Linked DNA regions of Ovis aries. The protein of the gene in region 3 interacts with the protein of the main gene of each other region in a pairwise test. Links are inferred from orthologs where the notes say so. Each region holds a gene or a part of one and is shown on either strand. Other genes may lie near its edges.

Region 1 (7,477 bases), on a different chromosome or scaffold from region 3:
AGTCTGTTGCAGAGACAGCAGCTCACGAAGTGGGGGTAGGCCCTGCCCTTGTCCCAGTCTTGGTGATCTGCTATTGCAAACCTGCAAGCTGAGAGTCTCTGCACTGCCAGTGGCCAGAGATCACAGAACTGGGGCACCACAGGGCACGGCATGAGCCCAGCCAACAGCCCAGAGGGATGCAGCCCAAGGACCATTTGGAACCCTGTGGACAACTTAAGGGCCGCTCCCTAAATGATTCCTCCCAACCGAGACGGGCCAAGAAGCACGGCCAGTACTCGGAAGAGGCCAAGACTGTCCTCCTACTGAGTCAGCTAGTGTGGCAGAGAGAGCGCTCATTTTTAAAGGGCTGAGGACGGTTGGCTGCAGGTGGGCAGTGGACTTACAATCTCATCTAAACCAACTCCCTCCAAACAGGTCCAATATCATTTCACCCTACCGGATGAGAACTCTGGGAGACTAGCATCTGCCGATTTGGCTAAACCAACTGCATGTCTGGAATCCAAACGTCTGCAAATATTTTCACTGATTGTCGTTCTGTTCTCTCCATATTTTAGCTTTGATCATTTTGGAACCCAAAGCCTGTCTTGTGGAATAAATAATACAAGCAAATTAAAAAGGCACATTGTGCACCAGGGGGACTTGTCAGGCAGTCGCTGGGATGGTCCAGGGCCACTCGGCTCCAGCCTCAGAGTCACCTGCAATAAAAACCACTTCTTGCCATCAGCGATTCAGTGATTGGGATGGAATTTCATAAACACCAAAACTGACAAAATTGTCTCTGGCGTGTAGTTCTGGGTAGGGAAAAAGTCATATTTTTCACAGCAAAAAAAAAAAAAGAGGAGGGAGCATGTTTTCAACATCAAACTGTGGTCATCAAAGTTTTCCACTGATCTTTAATAAGTGACTTTCTTTTTTAATTTTGAAAATTGGGGTTAAGTAAGGGTGGTCCAGAAATCACTTTTATCGATACTCAAGGGCCATGAGGCCTCCACCTTGGGAATCTCAGTTCTGGTGAGAGCAGTGGTTCGGGAGACATCTCACAAGACTCTCCAGTTGGAGCAGAGTTCCCGAAGGCTTAGGTGGCCTGACACAGTCACCCATCAACCAAGCACTGAGCAGCCAAAGCTTGTAAGCAGGACGGGGGCAGGGAGGAGCCGACCAGCCGGCACCCTAGCGCTCTGGGCTCTGCACCCCTGTGCTGTGTTCTGAGAGGCGGCTGCTCTCCCACCGCTTCCCAGGAAAGCCAGCCCCAGTGGGGTCCTGCCGCGACCTCCCCGGGATCAGCAGAGGACTTCCATTGAAAATAATGGAAATTCACATTGGCGCACTTTCGATCCTTAAAAGGCAGGTGTCTTTCAATCCTTGAAGATATTCTCTCAAGCCAGAGGACAGGTAGGGTGGGGAGAAGTGTTTAAAAAGGAGGATGATCCATTTCATCGAGCCAAGAGGCCGGGCTAGTCGGAAAGTCGGGGTAGCCTACACTGCTTCCTGTGGAGATGTCAGAGGTGGGTCCCCCAGCCATGGCTCTCAGCGTCTGGCTTACTCCCTGCCCTGCATGCGCAATGATGCCCAAGTTACTGTCCACCGTGTAATCCAGCCCATTGAGCAAAGGAGCGTGGGATGGCAGGGACGAGATGGAGGATGGAGACTGGGGGATTCCATAGGGGCTCCCATCCCTCAAGTCCTGATAGGATTGTCCTGTCCCGTCCATGGAGAAGCTCCCATTCATTAACTGTCCGCCTGAAACGTCCCCCACGTTGCCATAAATCCTATTGGTGTGGCCAAGTTCTGAGAGAATCTGATCCTCTGTGGACAAAAGAACGGAGATTTATTGTCAGCCACCAGGACTCCAGTGCTCCCCTGATCTTCACAACCTAGGGATACACATGACCAGGAAAGAAGCCCGAGCATGAACCAGACACCAACCTGTCAGCCTGGCATCCAGACCCTGACCCACGTCAAGGGGAGAAACAGAACAAACACCTCCAGAGACCACACGCCCAGGTCCCAGGAGGCTGGACAAATGTTCCGTGAGCTTGTTGGTCTCAGGTGGGTCATGTATGAAGAGGGCTACACTAACGGCTATGGAGTATGAATGCCTGAGGTTTGCTGTATCACATGTCATCCGCAGCACAAATGGAAGAAACTCCGTGCTAACAGGATTTCATCTGAAAGCTTTCAAGCTGAGAAAAGTGCTTGATTCAGTTGTAGGGAAACAAGCAGGGCCGTAGGGTCAAGGGAGCTGAGGACTCATGACATGTATATACGAAAGCTTTCTGCTCTACCTGGGAAAGAGGTTCAGTATCAAAGGACTTGGTTTCTCTAAGTTCTTCACTGCGGACAAAGCATTGGATTGATTAAGGCAAATGGACCTTCTTGTTTCTTGATGAATTTCATTAACGGGATCTCGTGGTATCTTTGCCACCTGGAAGAATTCATCTCTCCAACAGAGGTGAACAATTTTAGTCTTAAGAAAAATAAGATTATATAGTTATGTGGAGAGACCAGTGATATGTCAACCTGGGGGCCCACCTGCACCCAACAGAAAGGAGCTACAAAATAAGACTTGATAATCCTGTGTGTTCCAGATGTTGATTTCAGCATCTTAGAGGAGATTGAATGGCTTTCCACCCCCATGTCCCCACCAAAGAGGCCTGGAAGGTGAGTCTGGAACATGCCCCAGGCCTCATGGGCAGACCTTTGGGCTGACTTACGGTCCTCTCAAGAAATCATGGTCCTCTCAGGCAGCTCTTGCCATCTGCTGCCCCACAGACTTACTTTCTATTCCCACTGGGCCTGTGTGTCCATTCCTACCAAGGCCACCCCAGAGTGGAGTTCAACACTTATCCCTTCTGACAACCTGCCCTAGGCTGTCCCACATCCCATCCATGAAAATGAAAAGGTGGAGGAGAGTCATGCCCTTTAAAGGGGGCAGGAGATGAAGGCTCAGCTACACTGTAAAATGGCCATTAACTGGCATTTTGCCTACACCTGTCATCCCCAGTGACCAGGGCCCTCTGTGGGAACCACAAGCTTCCTAAGAATGGTTGTGTCTTCCAAGTGTAAAAATGTGCTGAGCTCTCTCCAAAGGCATCCACAGTCAGTTGTATTCACGGATTCCCACAAGACCACTGGGATATGGGCAAGGATACTGTTATACCCATTTAGAGATGGGTAAGGCTCAGGAAAAGTAAATCAATTGGACAGAGCCACAACTGGAAACCAGATTTCTGATTCCCCCAGCTCAGGCCTCTTCCCTTCTCCTGCCACAACAGAAGACCTTCCACATTTGAGGACTCAATACAAGAGAACGGCTATTTGCAAACAACTAAAGGATCCAAAACATGCATCCATTTGCAATTCTGCTGATGCACAAAATTTGAATGTAGCACATGCAGCAAAGCATATGTGCTGGGGACAAGACGGAGTGAGCGCTGGGGGAAGGGATTTCAGAATGAGGCCAGCCCCCACCTCACATGCACTCGCAGTACTGACTCCCCAGGGCCAAGGGCTGTGACGCACATCCTCCCACCACCAGCAGAAAAGAGGGCTCACTCTAGGGGGTCACGGGAGGAAGGCCACTAACCCCATTGAGGGGAGAAATGCTGGAGAGGGGCTTGGGGCACAGACTGAGACATAGGGGTCCTTTGCAGCTGTGTGGGCTGATGAGGGAGCCCCGGGCAGCGGGCAAGGAGGGGAGGCCTTCGGGCCTGCAGGCCTGGGAGCCCAGCTTCCATGGGTCAGCAGCAGAGCTCTGGTTTCCTCTGCCCTGTCCCCTCTGAAAGGCCACGGCCATGTCCCCCCACCCTTTACTCCAAGTCACAGGGTGGGGCCTGTGTTCAGGAGAGAGCTGGCAAAGCCGCCAGAAAGACCCCTCCTGCCTGTCGGGGGTCACTGTTTCCTAGGGGCCTCTCCTAGGGCCTCGGCCTCGCCCCTCCAGCCCTGCTCACCTCGGAAGCTCAGCTCACTGTCACTAACCCCACAGTCCTCCGCAGAGCTCTCCTTCTCCTGCTTGCTGCCTGCGCGGCTCCTCTTGACACTCTTGTAGAACTGCCCCCAGCGGTGCCGCCCCGCATCCTTCTTCAGTCGCTTCTCCTTGGCCCTTCTGTTCTGAAACCAAACCTACCACAACAAGCAAAGGGACACACTTTGGGGGTGTCCGCCATGAGCCCAAAGCCCCAGGGGTCCCCGAGCCCAGAGACAGAGGCTGAAGCCCAGCAGATGGGTGAGGAGCGGGTTGTGCCCATCGCTTCCCCTGGCCTGGGCCTCAGACATCTCTGGTTCAGCAGATTTCCTGGGCCATGGCCCTGAGCCCAGCGCCCCGAGGGGATCAGGGACAGCACTGTGAGGCGCCATGGTTACCTGGAGCCGTCCTCCTGTGGACGCGCGGATGTGGGGACCCACAGGACACCCTCCGCCCCCACGCCAGACCTGGCACTAGGTGGTGCCCGGCCTGGGACCCCCGGTCAGCAAAGTCGCCCCCATGGGTCGGGGTGGCTGGAGCCTCACCTGTACAACCCTCATGTCCAGGCCTGTCTCCGAGGACAGCTGCTCCCTCACGTGCCGGGCAGGCTTAGGGGAGTTCTTATAGGCGTTCTTCAGAGTCTCCAGCTGCTTCGCTGTGATGGTGGTCCGGGGCCGCTTAGCTCCAGCCTCTGAGTCATCTGCAACGAAAACCACTTCTTACTGTGTCCAGCCCATCTGAAGCAGCTGGGTCTCACCCCTCCTTCCTCCTTTCCTCATGTAATCTTGCCTGCTATGGGCAAGAGGGAGGAAGAATGGGGAATGTCAGGGGAGAGTATTCTTGATCCACATGGAGCCCACTCCTGCACTACAGGCCTTCCCGAGTCACTGAAAAGGTAGGACAATATGCTGTTCCCTCAGCTCCCTGCCTCTCCCCATTCCTTCCCAGCCCAGCCACACGGGGCTCTCATCAGACTGAAGGCGTACCATTCTACATGTTTCCCCATCATGGCACACTCCACTGGCCAACCTCGTGAGTTACTGCCAAGGCTGCAGAGGGGAAGGAGACAGAAGGAAGTCTTTGCCCTGGGCTGCCCCAGATACCTGTCCCTCCTCCCATCAGAAGCCTCCATTCCCCCAGGTCCCACCCATGATCTCATTGCCTTTCCACAGCCCTGGGCTCACAGCAAAGGTGACGTGTCCATTTACTATTCACCTAAGCAATGTTCATAAATTATGGGTCAGAACCCAAAAGTGGGTTGTAAAGTCAATTTAGTTGATCAAAAACTAAAAGAGCAAACAAGATGGATAACATGAAATGAGATGAGATGGGATGGGATGGGATGGGATGGGATGGGATGGGATGGGATTGGGTGGGATAGGATGGGGTGAGGTGGGATGGATGGATGGGACCGGGGGGTAGGGTGGGGTGGGATGGGATGGGGGGTAGGGTGGGGTGGGATGGGATGGGGTAGGGTGGGTGGGATGGGATGGGGTAGGGTGGGTGGGGTGGGATGGGATGGGGTAGGGTGGGTGGGGTGGGATGGGATGGGGGGGGGGGGTGGGGGGGGTGGCGTGGGGGTGGGGGGGTAGGGTGGGGTGGGGGGGTGGGGTGGGGTGGGGTGGGTGGGGTGGGGGGGGGTGGGGTGGGTGGGATGGGGTAGATAGGATGGGGTGGGGTGGGGTGGGGTGGGGTGGATGGGATGGGGTGAGGTGTGTGGGATGGGGTGGGATGGGTGGCCTGGAGTGGGATGGATGGGATGGGATGGGATGGGATGGGGTGGGGGGAATGGGATGGGATGGGATGGGATTGATGGGATGGGATGGGATAGGATAGGATGGGATGGGATGGGATGGGTGGGGTGGGTGGGAAGGGGTTGGGGTGAGATGGGATGGGATAGGATGGGGTAGGGTGCGGTAGGGTGGGATAGGATGGGGTAGGGTGGGGTAGGGTGGGATAGGATGGGGTGGGATGAGTGGGATGGGATGGGGTGGGATGGGGTGGCCTGGGGTGGGATGGATGGGATGGGATGGGATGGGGTGGGGTGGGGTGGCCTGGGGTGGGATGGATGGGATGGGATGGGGTGGGATGGGGTGGCCTGGGGTGGGATGGATGGGATGGGATGGGATGGGGTGGGGTGGGGTGGCCTGGGGTGGGATGGATGGGATGGGATGGGGTGGATGGGATGTGGTGGGGTGGGTGGGATGGGGTGGGGTGGATGGGCTGGGGTGGGATGGATGGGATGGGGTAGGGGAGGTGGATGGGGTGGGGTGGGGTGGCCTGGGGTGGGATGGGATGGGGTAGGGTGGGGTGGATGGGATGGGGTGGGGTGGGGTGGATGGGATGTGGTGGGGTGGGGGGGGATGGGGAGGGCTGATGTGGGATGGATGGGCTGGGGTGGGCTGGATGGGGTGGGCTGGGGTGGGCTGGATGGGATGGGGTAGGATAGGATGGGGTGGCCTGGAGTGGGATGGATGGGATGGTATGGGGTAGGGTGGGGTGGGTGGGATGGGGTGGGTGGGATGTGGTGGGGTGGGTGGGATGGGGTTGGATGGGATCAGATGGGGTGGGGTGGATGGGCTGGGGTGGGATGGATGGGATGGGGTAGGGGAGGTGGATGGGGTGGGGTGGGGTGGCCTGGGGTGGGATGGATGGGATGGGGTAGGGGAGGTAGATGGGGTGGGGTGGGGTGGCCTGGGGTGGGATGGATGGGATGGGATGGGATGGGGTGGGGTGGGGTGGGATGGGGTAGGGTGGGGTGGATGGGATGGGGTGGGTGGGATGTGGTAGGGTGGGTGGGATGGGGTTGGATGGGATCAGATGGGGTGGGGTGGATGGGCTGGGGTGGGATAGATGGGATGGGGTAGGGGAGGTGGATGGGGTGGGGTGGGGTGGGGTGGTCTGGGGTGGGATGGATGGGATGGGATGGGGTGGGATGGGATGGGGTAGGGTGGGGTGGATGGGATGGGGTGGGGTAGGTGGGATGGGGTGGGGTGGGATGGGATGTGGTGTGGTGGGGGGGATGGGGAGGGCTGGGGTGGGATGGGTGGGGTGGGGTGGGGTGGATGGGATGGGGTGGGATGGGGTGGGGTGGGGTGGGTGGGATGGGATGGGGTAGGGTGGGGTGGATGGGGTGGATGGGATGGGGTTGGATGGGATGTGGTGGGGTGGGGGGATGGGGTGGGCTGGGATGGGATGGATGGGATGGGGTGCGGTGGGTGGGATGGGGTGGGGGGGATGGGGAGGGCTGGGGTGGGATGGATGGGCTGGGGTGGGGTGATGGGATGGGGGGGGATGGGGGGGGATGGGGAGGGCTGGGGTGGGATGGATGGGATGGGGTAGGGGAGGTGGATGGGGTGGGGTGGGGTGGGGTGGCCTGGGGTGGGGTGGATGGATGGGATGGGGTGGGCTAGGGTGGGATGGATGGGATGGGGTGGGCTGGGCTGGGGTGGGGGGGATGGGGTGGGATGGATGAGGCAGATGAGGGCAAGTGTTGCTTCATGAAACTTGATC
Region 2 (7,477 bases), on a different chromosome or scaffold from region 3:
CCATGGGGTCGCGAAGAGTCAGACACGACTGAGCGACTTCACTTTCACTCTTTACTTTCATGCATTGGAGAAGGAAATGGCAACCCACTCCAGTGTTCTTGCCTGGAGAATCCCAGGGACGGGGGAGCCTGGTGGGCTGTTGTCTATGGGGTCGCACAGAGTCGGACATGACTGAAGCAACGCAGCAGCAGCAGCAACACATATGCCAGTTATAGCTGCCTGTAAAAGAGGCAGGGCCCACGGAGGCAAAGGAACATCTCCATAAGCAGACACAAGAAATGTACTAGATTTTGAAGTAGAAAAATCCAGGCAGCTGTCTAGAAAGATGGCACATGAGGCAAGGAGATCTGTGAGGAGGAGGTTCTGAACAGGCATGTGGTGGGATATAAAGACTTCAAAGAAATGGAACCCTGAAGGAGGGGCTGAGCTTACTCCTACTTCCCACATCCTAAGTCAAGGTCCTCTGCCAAAAGATTGACAGAGAACTGTAACTGGGTCCTTAGCCAGTGGCACAGACTAAACTGACAGAAAATTCCAGAAAACCTTACAAGTTGACTGGGACATCCCACCATAAGAGACTTACTACCCTGTGTTCAAAGGGACAAAAAGAATCAGTACTATAAACTGAGGACTTCTTCAGATACTAATCAAACCCTTCAGAAATCAGAGCCCCCAGTTAACTTCAACCAGGGCAGAGATTCAGCTAGTATGTTCCTATATAGATGTACCAGTTGTTAAAATATAGAAATGCTTTTGTTCTGTTGGTATGTTACCCAGGACACTCCCCTCCAACCTCCCAAGATCTGGTAACTAGAGGGTTAGGGCTCTGGTTGGCCTCCTGAGATTGGCCAACGGCCCTGCTGTACAGATGGAATGTCCCAGCACTTCTGATGGGCTCCACCCCCTTCCTCATGCCTGTAATACTATATAGAACCCAGGAGGCACACCAGCCTCTCCACACCCCTCACGGCAATAGAAGTCAGCCCTAGGGGTGCACCCTGGGAAATCAGGACTGGATAACTTGCCCCGGCTGACAGAAATGGCCATCACTGTCCTCAGCACAGCGCTAGCAGAGGGTGAAGAACCCTCCTGAAGTAACAAGGGCTACCCTGTAGATGAAAGAAGGTGGGACTCCAACCAGTACACTGCAGTTCCCAGAAAATGTGGTCCCCACCTCCACTCCCACTTCCCCAGTGTGGTGCCTCAGAGCTTGCCGGCCTCTGTTCCTGCCAAAGTCCATCCAAGGGCTGGGCCACCCCCAAACACTGGGCACTTGCAACCAAGAGCCCATTTCCCACACGATCTAGCCTTCAGCTATGGTTACCTTTTTGCTCTCAGAAAGTTTGAGGGGGTTGCTTTCCTCTGAAGCTTCTTCATCATCCTCCTCCTCCTGGTCGTCTTCGTCCTTACCCTCCTGGTTGGGGAACTCTTCGTCTTTCTCCTCCTGATCGTCTTTGAACTTAACCTCTTTAGGACCTGATGGCTCAGAAACCATTCTGTCCTGGGACTCCTCCTTTGTTTCCTCCTTCTTTTCCTCTTTCTCCTCCTCCTTTGTTGGACCATCCAAGGATGTGTGGCTGGCCTTATAGTACAGCACCACCTCCAGACTCTGTGGGCGGGGGCAGGACCGGGGATGCTGCTATGACCTTCACGATGATGCTCAACCACCTCGGGAACACGTGCTTCCTGGTGTGTCATGGTGCGTACACAGTACTGTGTCCCGGGACCCAACTGATGCCCCTGTGCACCATGTGGAGGGTAGCCACACCCAACTTCTCTGTGCCTGTACTACACCTACCTGGGACCACACACCTACCTGGGACCACATGTCTACCCAGGACCACACCTACCTATCCGGCCATTAGCCATTTCCTGTAGTTCTCAGAGCTAAAGATCCTACACCTCAACTGCTGTTTCCTACCCTTGCATGGTGGCTCCCATTTTATCCAATCCTCTTCCACGTATGTGTACACAGGGCTTTGAATAAATTCCTTTCTTTTCATCCATTTGGTGCTTCTCTTGGGCATGTGATCTAGGAAAACCACCTCCCACCCCTCCACAAATTGCACTGGGCTACCTGAAACAGTCATCCAGCCTGGGGGCTAGAGCTCCAGATCCGAGTGGTCCGTATTCTACCCTCCCCTTGACCTCACAAGAAAAGGGAGGACCAAACCACTACTAAGATGGATCTACTCTAGACAAGAGACCCCAGAAGCTTCTCTACAGTGACCTCATCTGGTCACAACGGTGATGGAGATGAATTTTCTTCCCAGGATCTCTGGTAACTTCCTACTCGTCTGACTACTAAGGTTACTACTCACCTTTGTAGTCTCAAGGCCGCTCTCAGTACTCTCTACGCTTGGCTTGGCCACCTTTTTATTTTTCACCCCATTGGCGTTCTTGTTCATGTTCTTGTTGCCGTTCTTGCCCCTGATTTCCTTGGTAACAGAGGACTTCTTCTCTTTGAGCTGGCGGAGCTCTTCCTGGCAGCACTGTAGCTGCCCCTCCAGCTGCTCCTGCACGGCCAGGAGCCGCCCCTGCTCATCCATGCTGGCCTGGTACTGCAGCTGCAGCTCCCGCAGCTTGGCCTGCAGTTCCTTGATCTGTTGGTAGTGGAGAGCCCATTACCCGCAGCTGGGCCTACGTGATTAGTCTGGCCCCTGCCTGGGGGTCCTGGCCTCAGAATCTCCCTGCTAAAGCCCGGGGGGAGGCAGATAATACAGAAAAAGTGAAAACCATGGGAAATTAGCCTCAAAAGCAGTTTTACAAAGAGGTTCTCCCTAATTTGAGGCACCTGACTTACAGCTAATGTGATTTAAAAAAAAAAGGATGACTTAAATTACGCTTTTTCTATGAACTGGTGGGGGAATGACTGCTGGGCTAACTGAACCATGGGGCTTGATTACCTAGTGGTTTTTGATAGGAACTCCTACTTCGCTCAGGCTATTTCTCTCACAGGTCAATCATTACTATAGGAACTGCGTCATATCATTCTGAGACCGGACTGGGCTCTTGCACCTTGCCCTGGAAACAAAGGCAACCGCCAACCCTGCTCACTGCTCACTGGTTTTTGTCCTTCCTGGCTTCTGGCAGCACACTGTGGCCTCTGAGGCAGGTACCAACACTAAGCAACTGAGGCCCATGTGTTTCCTGCTCTCTGAGCTTCTCCCATGTGCACAGTGACCCCCACTGGACAGTGGACTACTCCTGGTCAGAGTCAATGCCCTCTATCCCATTCTTAGGGATGCAGAGCACTCTGCTTGGTATTATGAGAAATCCAAAAGACCTGGCCCTGTCCTTGAGGGGCTTACAATCTAGTTAAAGAGACAAAGTGGAATATACACAAACTAACTAAAGAAAATTGGCAGGTAAGAAAATGCAACTCTACAGAAGTGCTCTAGGACAAAAGAGAGAACAAAATGGCAGACGGGAAAAAAATCATTTCAAGGGGTCTTGATGATCAGTAAATTCCAGAATAGCGGGCACCTGAGAAATGCCTGTCAGAGGCCCAGCAGACTGCCCTGCTGCCTGGAGTTCAGCCCCTACTCCGTCCCTCCACCAGGAGGATGGCACCTGAACAGAGTCAGCAGTGAGCTCCCGTCTCACCCTCAGCCTCTCTGAAAGGACTCCAACCTCCTTGGGTTCTGGGGACACCTATGAGAAGCCCTGCCTCGCTGAAAGCAGTTACCTCATTCTTGTCCTTGTCGTTTTGGGAGGCGACGGGCTTCTCAAGGCCTTCCATGCACTCCTTGAATTCCTTCTCGCAGGCGTCCAGCTCCTCCTTGAGCTCTTTCTGCTCATCCAGCAGCTTCTTCATCCGCTGCTGCAGCAGCTTGTGCTCTTCCTGGCTGAGCTGGTACATGGCCTGCACACCCTGCAGCTTGATCAGCACCTTGGCGACCACGTCCTCAAGGTGCTGTGGAGGGCGAGGAGTGAGGAGGGCACCCTGAGGAGCCCCTGCCCTCCACCCGCTCTCTTCGCTGGGCCCTTTTTTCTCATGGGTACAAAACACTGGCCGATAGGATCTGAAGCTGCCCAGGGGGAGAACACTGGATTTCTTCCCATGAAGAGCACATGACTGTGTTGATGAAAAGTCCAGAATCTTAGACTTCCGTCCAGATGGAACTGCATCTCCATAGGAAGTGGGGAGAGCACCTCATTCATTTCCTGACGGTCACCCAGCTCAGCTCTGAGCCCGCTGCCCACTTCACCTCTCGGGCCCTTCCCCGTGGCCTCTCCTAATGAGACAAGAACCATTGTCCCCTGTCTGACCGGACACCTGACTGCCTTTACCTCCACATCTCCAGGCTCGGCCAGCTCGTCGTCCATGCTGCTGCTGACGTAACTCTTGTGACAGGTGACGGAGCTGCTGCTGCTGCTGCCATAGCTCCTCTTATAGGTGTCGGAGCTGCTGCTGCTGCTGCTGAGGTAGCTCCGCTGACAGGACTCGCTGGCATCTGTGCTGCTTTCGTAGCTCTTGAGGAGGCTCTCTTCACTGGCCTGGCTGCTGCCGTAGCTCTTCTGGTAGCCCTCATCGTCATTGAGGTTGCAGCTCTTGTGGCAGTTCTCGTTGCTGGTGGTCGTGCTCGCGTAACTCTTCCTGTAGGAGTCCAGGCTCATCTTGATTGCAGGGGACTGGTCTTGGAGCAGCTGCATTTCTTCCAGACAGAGCTGCAGGTCGGCCTGCAGCCTCTTCCGCTCCTCCAGAAGCCGCTCCTGCTCCTGCTGGAGCAGCTCCTGCTCGGTCTCACTGGCCTCGTACAGCTCCTGCAGGGCCTGCATCTGGGCGATGATCATCTTGGACTGGCGGGAGTGGGTGGGGAGACACCAGCGTTACTTCAGACGCTGCGATCCTTCCAGCGGAACCCCTCCTGGTGAGGATGTCTGAGATCCCAGGTCAAGGAATGGCACACCTGGCCCTCCCAGCTCACCGTGGCCCAGGACTTCCACTTAGCCTGCAGGTACCTGGCATGATTCAATTTCTTACTCACTGGAGAAAATTTCCTAGGGCAGACACTCTGCAATTTCTGGGCTCTCACTTCCCCTGGCTTCTATGCTCTGGTAACCTCCTCTCTCCCTGGAGTAGCACTGAGTGGGTCTCAAGGTCACTCAGCCTCCCTTCTCTCTTCTTAGTCAGGTGGACCTATTATCCTGATCTATGGGGCTCAGTCCCCTCCTCCACCCCCAATTCTAAAATCACCCCTGGCCACGAACATGAGCGTACAAAGAACTCCTCCCTTGGAAGATGCAGACTTCCAATCAGGGTCTCACTATGAGTCCCTCTCCTGCCTCAATTCCAAATCTGGCTTCTGGCATGCTTCCTGGGCCCTCTGGGCCTGGCTCCTTGGCAGCTGATGCCCAGGATGAGATCTGATCTGTTAAGGAAATATTTGCTATTTCCTGGTCTGGTTCCTGGTCTCTGTTATCCAGGCTGAAATCGGATGCCCCTGGAACCTGATCAACCAAATTGCACAGTTTGGACTTCTGCTGCTCCATGCACCTCTGCCTGTCTAGGCTAATATCTGGACAAATCAATCTCACTTAAATGGAAACTGTCTTCCTGCTCTTCCTTGCCTACACTGAGGCCTCAGACCAAATGCATCTCCCAATCCTGAACACACTTGTTTAGAAATTTCCACCAGTATGACCTCAGAGGCCTGACCACTCACTGGTGCTTGAGACACATGGATTCTCTAGTCTAATGCCTCTGACCTGGCTGTTACTGCTGCAAAGTTCCAATCCAATGAAGACAGTGAGGTCAGTACCAAGAACCCCATATGCTGGGAATTTCTGTCTTGGAAACAAATGGCCCCAGATATGCCTCATGTAGAACACCAAAAGGTTACAGATTTGGATCACTGGAAAGCGAACATCTCAATTATCAACCAGCTCATGAGGAAAAGACATGTTTAGAGTCAGTCCTAAAGAACCCAAACACTAGGTTGATCTACCTCCAACTACATCTGGAAAATGAGGTATTAAAGAGACTGAGTTCAAAGGATCAGGAGATCACAGACTTCCTGGTCATCACAGTGCTTCAGCTGGGCATCCATCCAGAGGAGCAGCTCAGGCCAGCCCTAACTAAGGAGCCCATGAGTGGGCTTTAGCTTCCTCTCTGCTCCTGGCCTTCGGAACTCAGACCCTGCTATGGAGCCCCTTTCCCTAGCATGCTGCTACCCCCAGAACTGTCTCCCTACCTCTTGCTATGGTTACCTTGTTGTGACCACACTTTGAGGACTTAGGCCATTTGGGATCCTCGGGATTCTCCAACACTTCCCGGAAGCTGGACTCCTTGAAATGGTGCAGGGCTCCTTGCAGTTCTAACTGTTCTTTTACTATGTTCTCTTGGTTCTGTATCAGTTTCTTCTGCTCCTCCTGCATGCCTTGGTAGAGCATCTGCACTTCACACAGGTCCTGTAACTTTGTGAGGAGCTCCTGACTCTGTGAGGTGGAGCGGAAGGAAGTGGGCGGCACTGTGATGGTTACACGGAAAGACCTCTGCCTCCTTCCCTCTGGGGACCCTTCCCTCAAAGGAGTTGGCTTTGCTCAGCCCACCTGGGACAGGAGGGGAGTCTTTCTACACAGACCTGCTAGTGGAGGAGTAAAGACCTCCTGTGGGTGGATGTCTTTTGCTTTTTATAAAGTGATTTCAAGGACATTTTCTCCAGATGGACTAAATGTCTAAAACGTTGGACAGATTCCAGAGTTGAGGATGTATTTCAAGATTTAAAGCCCTAATCGGCTATTGTGAGCAGTTTTGTGAGAGGAGACTGGCGAGAAAGTGAGGAGTTAAGACAAAGTTCCATTTGCTCCCTTTCACTTCTCCTCAGGTCGCTCACATCCGGGAAGGGCCTCACAGCTGACGGCCGCCCTGGCCGCCATTACCTTGTGGAAGAGACCAGACTTGGGGAGCGGGAACGTGAGCCTGTGCAGCTCTTCTTGTAGCTGGCCCTGCTCCTCCTGCATCCTCCTCTGTTCCTCCAGGAGCTCGCACTGCTCCATCTGCATCTGCGCCATCTCCTTCTGGCTGGCCTTGTAACTCTCCTGCAATTCTGTCAGTCTGAAGAGCAGCGCGTCACACTGTGGACGGGGCAGGGCACACAGGGCGGTCAGCGGACCACGCCTGTGTTCTGTCCTGTGATTCACCAGAGTCTCCTGCCCTGTGGTCACCTTAGACTAATCACCCCAAGCTCCACTGTGCCCTCTAGAGGCCTAGATGCTGAACGGGAACCCCAGCAGGCCGCTCAGGGCTGAAGTTTGGCCATGCTGGATATTTTGCCTACTAGTCCTCTCTGAGGGTGGTTTTCAAGAGAGTGTTGGCAATGCCCCTCCCTTCTTACCTCCCTCCTGCTTCTTTCCTCTGGTGAAGACCATTTTCCCACCGTGCTGGGAATTCTAGTTCTCCAGTTGTTTCTATAACTGATTATGTTCCTTACCAATAACGATGTATTTTCACCCTAATTTTCCCCCATTTTTG
Region 3 (8,170 bases):
GGGAGAGGGTCCTCACTGCGGCTGAGGCCTGGAGCATGCCTGTCTTCTCCCCCAACCCCCAGTTTCGCTCTTGAGGACAGTGCCAGCACCTTGCAGGTGAGCAGACAGCTTGGGTTGGTGACCCTTGAGTTACCTGGCGTGGCTGTCCCTGGAGGCTGTAGGAGGCACCCTGGGCGGGGAAGCAGACCGGGGCCCTGGCTATAGCTCTGCGGCACAAGACAGGGACAGGACGGGCACTCACATGGCCGCGAGTCTCCTCGTTGCCAAAGGAACGGCCTGAACTGAATGGCTCTTTCATGGGGCAGTGGGAGGCCAGCCGATTGGCTGTGATCCCCCGTGCCCCTCCCTGCCCAGCGTGGGGCCCCTGCTGCCCGACTCCTTTCACTGTTTACCCAGAGCTGGCAAGTACAGGCATGCGGTTCCAGGCAGCACCTCCCCAGGTGCCCGCCACCTCGGACAGTGGGGCAGCCTTCCTGCCAGCCTCCTTGTCTGTGCAGGCTCGCCAGGGCTCTTGGCTCTTCCCTGTTCTGCCATGCTTCCCTTTCTTCCCTCTTGCTTTACTCAGTTTTCCCTTCTTGGGAGGTGTGGAGGGACTTCTCCTCCTGAAAGGACGAGGGAACCAATTGGCCATCGCCCCGCCAGCAGGTACAGAGCACCCCTGGACCAGGCATCCCACTGGGTACTTCTTAGGTAGCTTGTCATTTTTTCAGCAGCCCAAAGTCCAACACTGAGACAGCCTTCCCAACGCCCCTGGCTTACAAACATCATTTGAAGTTTTAATTTTTTTAAACATTAAATTGAAATTCAAAATACTTTCATTCAAATAGACAAGAAATTTAAATAGTGAAACAGTCAAGTGAAGCGTTTAGCATTCATATTTCTGAAGTTATTAAAGCTTAAATCAGCACTAAGACTTCTGGGACACCGCATATTAATCACTCAGTTAATCCTCACGACTGCCCTAAGCAACAGGTGCTATTATTATGCCCGTGTGCAGATGAGGAAGCTAGGGTTTGGAGAGGTGGTGTGGCTCCCCCAGGGTCACACTGGGACTGGGACCTACCTGGGCTCTGTCTGCTAACGCCTACCTTGAAGCCAACCCATCGCCCCCTTCTCTCTTCCCTGGCCTTTCCCTGAGCTGGCACAGGCTGGGGTTCCTGCAGCATGGGGTGAGGGGGTCCAGGTGTCCACCGTCTAGGCAAAACAGCGTGGCGGGTACAGACTCCCAAAGGAGCTGCCTTTCGAGTTTCCACTGCAGGCAGATGAAAGCGAAGCCAGGCGCAACCTGAGCCCCGGAACAATGCTGATCTGCCGAGAGATGGTCCAGGAGGCCTCCATTTCACCCGTGATGCCAAGCTCCTGCATGTCCCCCGCCTCCTACCCTTGCGGCAGCTTGGCCCACTCCCCAGGGTACCCAGACTAGGTGAGTCAGGGCTTAAAATGAACCCTATCTTCCTGGGGCCACTAGCGCATTACATCAGCCACTGTCATTTCCTGCCGCTCACGTGAAGGGCTCCCTAACCTGCCCAGCCAGGGGAGGGACTTGCTCCCCAGGAATGCCAGGCACTCTTGGCCCCCAGGGTATGGGATGGGTGATGCCCAACATCCCAGGAGCCTTCATGGCCCCTCTCTGCCTAGATCCACTCTGCTGTCTGGGGTGAAGGCATGCCAGCTTCTGTGGCCTTGCCACTGCCTGGATAGAAAGCCCCCAGCTGGGCTTCAGACATAGACCTCAGCGGGGTTCAGTCCCTTTCCTCCTATCTGTGTCTGAGGTAGGTGAGTAGGGAATCCCAGGCAGTCCCACAGGTGCTTGGGAACCGTCACAGGGGTGACCTCAGAGCTTCCCAAAGCTGCTTGCTAACAACATCGGAATGAGGCACTGACTGAGACGGCTGACCTTGAAGGGTAAAGTGGGCTGACAGAGGGGCCCTGTCTCCATCTACACTTTCCCACCCACAAGCCCGGCTGCTGGGACACTGCCTAGACACAAGCGTCATCCCCTAGGTCGCGGGATGTCCTGGCAGGAGTGGAACATGTAGGCGGAGGGGGAGGTTGGGGTGGGGGATATTTGTGCTCTCACAGTTCAGGAGTTCTGTTTACTGCTCTCAGATGCCCAGGAGCCTCAGCCTGGAGCTAGCGGCTCTACCTCTTGGGCTGGCACCCTCTGACCCACCAGTTTAGTGCCTGATAGGCCTTGGCCGGGGGTCATCAAGGGGATTGGGTCCCTCTCAGTTTCTCTAGATCCCAACAGTTACTCAAGGGCTGGGACGGGCAAAAGAGGTAAAATAAAGAGACTGGAGATTAAAACCAGAATTCCGCCTGGAGGAGAAGAGGTGGGTGGGCTTAACGCAGTGTCTCTTCAGGGTTCTCCTTCATTTGGGTTGGGAGGGGGTTGGCATCTCTATACCTCCAAGAAAAGGCAAAGATATGGGGCCCCCAGGCAGTATTGGAATTCTTAAATTCTGTTTTCTAACCACGACTGTCCCAGGCACTCTCCTGGAACCCCTACCCCAGGGGAGAGCCCCAGGCTCCTTCCCTCTCCTCCAGGGCTTCAGCTTCCTCCTCCTGGCCTCCCAGCCCTTGGTTCTGCCCCTGGGTCTTGCCCATAGCACCTCCAGGCCTGGTGGGGTGGCCTCTCACATGCTCCCCCAAACAGACAGGGATCCCTCAAACAGACAGTCCAGGGCCCTAGGGACAACGGCCCTGTGAATTTCGGATACCAAAGGAGCAGTTACCGACCTGTGTCCGGGGACACTGGGCAGGATCTGGGGGCTTCTCCTTCCCCGGCAGGGCAGGGAGTGCAGTGGCGAGCCCAGAAGCAGGAGTCTGACTTGGGCCGGGTAATCCGGGGCTCAGGTTACTGACTCGATATATATAGTATCTTATCTGACCTCATGGAGATGGCTAGCTCCACTCGCTGGCATTCTGAGCCCAGGGAGAATTAAAGGGGCAGTGGCAGGCCCTCCCTCTCGAGGTGGGTGCCAGGCAAGGAGATCCTGGGAGACTGTTTGCAGGGAGCATTTTGAAATGGAACAGAAGGGGGATTCAAGGGGAAGCAGAACTGGAAAGAGGGTAGAGGGATGGGGGTGGAATTAGGCAAAAATATGGAGAAGGAGGTGTCAGTCACAGAAGTAGAGAAGAGAAAGAAGCCCCAGTCCACCTCCTTTAGCTCTGAGATGGAGGAGACCTGGAGGCAGACAGCAGCTCCCTCAAGGACACAGAAGCAGGGAGAGGCAGAAGGGACCTCTCTCAGGTTTCCAGTTCAAGCTCTTTTATAATGGACTTCTAGGCTTGGGCTTGTATTCCAAGTCTTTCCTTTTTATTGCCTCAGAGACATTTAAGCGGTCATTTAAGTGGTCCAAACCTTATTTAGTCTTAAAACAGGAGTAATAATAATGATATACCTCATGGAGGTGAGGATTAAATAATGCTTGTTAATTTCCTGGCACATAGTAAGAGTTCAATAAATGATAATCACTACTAGATCAAATACTTCCACTTCTAATTAGTGGTAGCATTTGTCAGGTGAACCTTGCTAGTGAGAAAAGGTTCCTCCAGGCCACCCCGTGGGAGTGCCCTGTTCTCATGTCAGAAAACTGCCATGGTTTTCCGAGCTGATCCGTGTCCCATAGCTGGCAAGGCAAATGAGGCTTACCCTATTCCCAGATGTGCAGTCCACCCATCAGAGGAGGGCCAGGCCCACTTGGGCTCTTTCCTTCTCTACCTAGAAAAATATATAGCAAGTGTAGCTTCCCCCAGGCTACCAGGAGCAAGCCTGGCTGCTCTGGAGTGGTTCCACTCTACCTGGAGGAGTGTTCAGGATCCCGAGCCTACAGAGCCAGGCTGGCTGGGCAGGGTCACAGGAGGAAGGTGCAGGATTCTGAACCTCTCGGACCTTGGTGCTCTTGTCAGCTCCCAGCTGTTCCTCCTGTTTCTCGATGGCTGTCCCTGAGGACTGGGAGTACCCGGGATGGTGCCTCCACCCTGTCTCAGCAGAGACTACTGACTCAGCTCAGGTCCTGATGATGCACTTCAGAGGACGCCCTCGTCCCCAGCCCTCATTCCAGTCCTCATTCCGACTCCAGTCTGGCATCATCTACAGCATCAAAGGAATGGTGGCTGCTCCAACCCCAGCCCAACCAGCTCTCCTTTCCTCCACTGTACATGTCGGACTCTGGGGACCTATTCCTGCCTGTGCCTGGGGAGATGAGCATGGGCAGGATCTCCAGCTCAGTTCCATTCTAAGAGCGGCCAGGTCAGGAGGTAGATGCTCCTCCTTAGAGGACAGCCAGAATGGGCTTCCTTAGGCTGTTGAGTATAAGTTACTTGCCTTGGAGCATCGCGTGCCTGATTCTGGTTTGGGATTGGTGAGAATTTCAAAGATGCCTCTTTCTTGTTTGGGATTGGTGGAAAATCTACCCCTTTTCCACTTAACTACTACCCTCCCCCCCACCCCTACCCCTCTTTGGCAAACTGATCAGAGACAAGCCCCCAGGAGCTTTGAGAGGAGGGAGTAAGAAGGCTGCCACGCACACGTGGGGAGGGGTTTGCCAGGGCCCAGGCGTCACTCTCCGCCACATCCCACACAGGGCTCGGAGATGCGGTCCTGCCCAAGCAGCGTTTCCTGAGAACACACTGATCAGCACACAGATGGCTCTCCCTGGCACCCTGAGCTGTCGGCTCACACACACAACTGGCACCCACAGCTGGAGATCCTCAGCGCAGCTGGCACTTGCCCTACATTTCTAGTGCCCATTTTGCCCAGGCGGTCGTTGACACCTCACTCTCAGAGCCTCACACGGCACTGCCCTCCGTATCCCCTCTTCCCCAGTCTCCGACAGGTGGCACGTACCTGCCTATTCTCTGAGGATGGATGAGTCGAGCCGGGCACAAGCATGGAGCTACCGATGAGTCCCGGCTGGTACTGGAGCGGCGCAGTAAACAGCCGCTGACGCAGAGGGCTCCCTGGCCTCGGCTCTTGCCCGCCTCTACCCCACCTCCGCCGGGGGCCCAGAGAGGACCTCCCCGGGAAATCGGCGCCACCCAGCGGGCTGCCGCCTCATTGCGCCCGGGGCCGGCAAAGCCACACCTCGCGTCTAGCGTCACTGAGACGCGTCACGGCGATTGGCTTGTTCCTATTATGACGTCATCAGAGCCCCGCCCGACCAGGATCTCCCAGGCGACCGACATATACAGAGAACCACGTGGAGAAAAGGCACGCGAGCTTGGAAGGGGTGGTTGGAGTACCTGAAGTGGGCCTGAATATGACACGACGGGACAGCTGGAAGGTATTGGGAAAGAGGAAGGGTCACGGGGAGAAGGCTCAGCGTTGAACCCCAGGGCGTACATATCAGCTTTCAGATTTTAGGGAAGGCTAAATGTTCCAGCTCCTTCCCACCCGACTGGGAGAGGGCCAGTTCTTCTGGCTCTTCCCTTCTCTACTCTTTAAGACACTCTCTGCTTATTTTACTAACATGAGACGAGTGACTGGTGGTGTTTTCTGAAGTGGGTAAAACGGTGGCACTGGGTCAGTAGAAGAGATTCTCTTTTTGTCTTTCAAGAAAAAGCCAAAGGAAACTTGATTTTTTGGGTCACTTCCATTCTTTGTATATAACTTTCCCCCCTTTCCTCTACTGTGAAGAAAACCACACGGCCAGGTAGATTGGTGCCAAGGCAAGTCCAAGGTTTTCAGTTTCACCTGGACCGTCAGTCCTTCCAAGTGTCCTTAGCTGCTTCTCTTGTTCTCTGCAGCTGGCATTTGTCCATTACCACTCTCCCAAGTCCCTCCTTGTCTTCTATTTCCCTGAGGAACTGGAGGCAATCAGGAGGGAAATCCTTAAAGTTCTGCCTACAAACATAGCTGAATTCATTCTTACCTCTGCTCCAGGAGCGGTGAGAGCTGTGTCCCTCTTGTGCAAGACAAATACCTTCCAGATCGCAGCTCTTGTGTTTCCTATTGTTACCCTCAAACCGGGTTCCCCTTTTGGTGGGTGTCAAGCCAAAAGACAACCAAGTCAAAAGATCTGGAGAAGGAAGAATTTATTACTTGCAGCAAGGGAGGAGAGTAGATGGGATCTTTCCCCAAGCAGTGTCTCCCTGAATAGCAAAATTGGGGAAGTTTTAAGCTAAGGGTACATGCATATTCATGAGGGATTGAGCAGTGTATGCATATTCATGAAGGGGCTTAAACGGAATTCCACATAGAATTGGATCAAAGGTTAACAGCCTTCAGTTTGGTTCAGTCCCTCAGTCACTGACTCTGCAACCCCATGGACTGCAGCACACCAGACTTCCCTGTCATTCACCAACTCCTGGAGCTTGCTCAAACTCATGTCCATTGAGTCGGGGATGCCATCCAACCATCTCATCTGTCATCCCTTTCTCCTCCTGCCTTCATTCTTTCCTAGCATCAGGCTCTTTTTCAGTGAGTCAGTTCTTCGCATTAGGTGGACAAAGTATTGGAGTTCCAGCTTCAGCATCAGTCCTTCCAATGAATAGTCAGGACTGATTTCCTTTAGGATTGACTGCTTTGATCTCCTTGCAGTCCAAGGGACTCAAGAGTCTTCTCCAACACCACAGTTCAAAATCATCAATTTGTTGGCCCTCAGCTTTCTTTATAGTCCAACTCTCACATCCATATATGACTACTGGAAAAACCATAGCCTTGACTAGATGGAATTTGTCAGCAAAGTGATGTCTCTGCTTTTTAACAGAGGGCTTTAGTTGATTGAAGGAAATGGCAACCCACTCCAGTACTGTTGCCTGGAGAATCCCACAGACAGAGGAGCTTGGTGGGCTACAGTCCACGGGGTTGCAAAGAGTCAGACACGACTGAGTGACTTCACCTTAGTTGATTGAAGTCAGAGTGTTGGAAAAGGTCAGCATCATTCCCTAGATTCAGACCTGTCTAGGGTCTCAGCAGATAGTTATCATCCTCCACCTTGGTGAGGCTCTTAGATCCAGCTGAACGAAAAGACTGACATCAGATTCTTATGTGTATCCCTTGAGGAAGAACTAGGACTCTTTTTATTAAACTATTGTTTACTATTACTTAACTGAGCAATTGTTTCTTGACTGGTTTTCCTTTATTTCTGCATTCTTTCCCTTCACTTAAGGTCGTTGGTCACTGAGACCTGTTCAAGATCTGCCACTGAGGCCAGGCTTAGATGACAAAACAGCTTCAGCCAAAAATGGCTTCTCCTCTGTCAAGAAAGCAATACCTAGTTCTCTTTCTCCAGGGACCGCCTACTCTGTTTACCTTAGGACCCTCATTCCATTGCATTTTAGGGATAGCTACTGGACATGCTGGGTAATCTTCTTGGAAGTGGGGATACAGCAGTGAACAAAACAGGCGAAGTCTTTGCCTTTAAGGAGCTTACATTTTGTAGAAGTAGAAGACAATAAGGAAATAAGTAAACTATATAGTATTGGATGGCATTCAGAGTGATAGAGGCAAATAAAACAGGGAGGATGATACAGTGTGTCAAGTGATATCAGAGATGGTCCCAATGATAAAGTGACTTTGGATAACCCAAAGGAGCTAAGGGAGTGAGCCATCTGGATGTCTGGGCAGAGAGTATTCGAAACAGAGGGAACAGTAATGCAGATGTCCTGAGGTAGGCCACCTTTGAGGAAGAGAATGAAGATCAGTGCGGTTGGAGTGAAAGAGGACAAGCTAGAGACAGGAAGACAAAGTCAAAGAGATAAGGGAACACCCTTGTTGGATCCTAAGAGCATTTCAGTGACTTTAACTTTTACTGGAAAGATTTCTAGTAGTCATGTATGGATGTGAGAGTTGGACTATAAAGAAAGCCGAGTGCCAAAGATTTGATACTTTTGAACTGTGATGTTGAAAAAGACTCTTGAGAGTCCCTTGGACTGCAAGGAGATCAAAGCAGTCAATCCTAAAGGAAATCAGTCCTGAATATTCATTGGGAGGACTGACGCTGAAGCTGGAACTCCAATACTTTGGCCACCTAATGCGAAGAACTGACTCACTGGAAAAGAGCCTGATGCTGGGAAAGAATGAAGGCAGGAGGAGAAAGGGATGACAGAGGATGAGATGGTTGGATGGCATCCCCGACTTGATAGATATGAGTTTGAGTAAGCGCCGGGAGTTGGTGATGGACAGGGAAGCCTGATGTGCTGCAGTCCATAGTGTCGCAAAGAA

Evidence for each region.
Region 1: the proteins of USP2 (region 3) and LHX4 interact in binary tests that used the Homo sapiens proteins (3 or more experiments, as listed by UniProt). The two-hybrid records come from large-scale screens. The link is inferred for Ovis aries from reciprocal best matches to the Homo sapiens genes USP2 and LHX4.
Region 2: the proteins of USP2 (region 3) and CCDC136 interact in binary tests that used the Homo sapiens proteins (3 or more experiments, as listed by UniProt). The two-hybrid records come from large-scale screens. The link is inferred for Ovis aries from reciprocal best matches to the Homo sapiens genes USP2 and CCDC136.

The regions. Positions count from the first base shown.
Region 1 is NC_056065.1:60,847,111-60,854,587, reverse strand, and holds part of LHX4 (LIM/homeobox protein Lhx4), read right to left. Parts: intron 4,665-7,477; coding exon 4,510-4,664; intron 4,123-4,509; coding exon 3,951-4,122; intron 1,807-3,950; coding exon 1,412-1,806; 3' UTR 1-1,411. UniProt on the Homo sapiens protein: May play a critical role in the development of respiratory control mechanisms and in the normal growth and maturation of the lung. Binds preferentially to methylated DNA.
Region 2 is NC_056057.1:94,476,098-94,483,574, reverse strand, and holds part of CCDC136 (coiled-coil domain-containing protein 136), read right to left. Parts: intron 7,081-7,477; coding exon 6,886-7,080; intron 6,442-6,885; coding exon 6,214-6,441; intron 4,804-6,213; coding exon 4,294-4,803; intron 3,917-4,293; coding exon 3,689-3,916; intron 2,604-3,688; coding exon 2,322-2,603; intron 1,610-2,321; coding exon 1,325-1,609; intron 1-1,324. UniProt on the Homo sapiens protein: May play a role in acrosome formation in spermatogenesis and in fertilization.
Region 3 is NC_056068.1:29,666,734-29,674,903, forward strand, and holds the start of USP2 (ubiquitin carboxyl-terminal hydrolase 2), read right to left. Parts: upstream 4,991-8,170; 5' UTR 4,853-4,990; intron 3,958-4,852; exon of another isoform or gene 3,805-3,957; intron 3,720-3,804; exon of another isoform or gene 3,656-3,719; intron 2,829-3,655; exon of another isoform or gene 134-2,828; intron 1-133. UniProt on the Homo sapiens protein: Hydrolase that deubiquitinates polyubiquitinated target proteins such as MDM2, MDM4 and CCND1. Isoform 1 and isoform 4 possess both ubiquitin-specific peptidase and isopeptidase activities.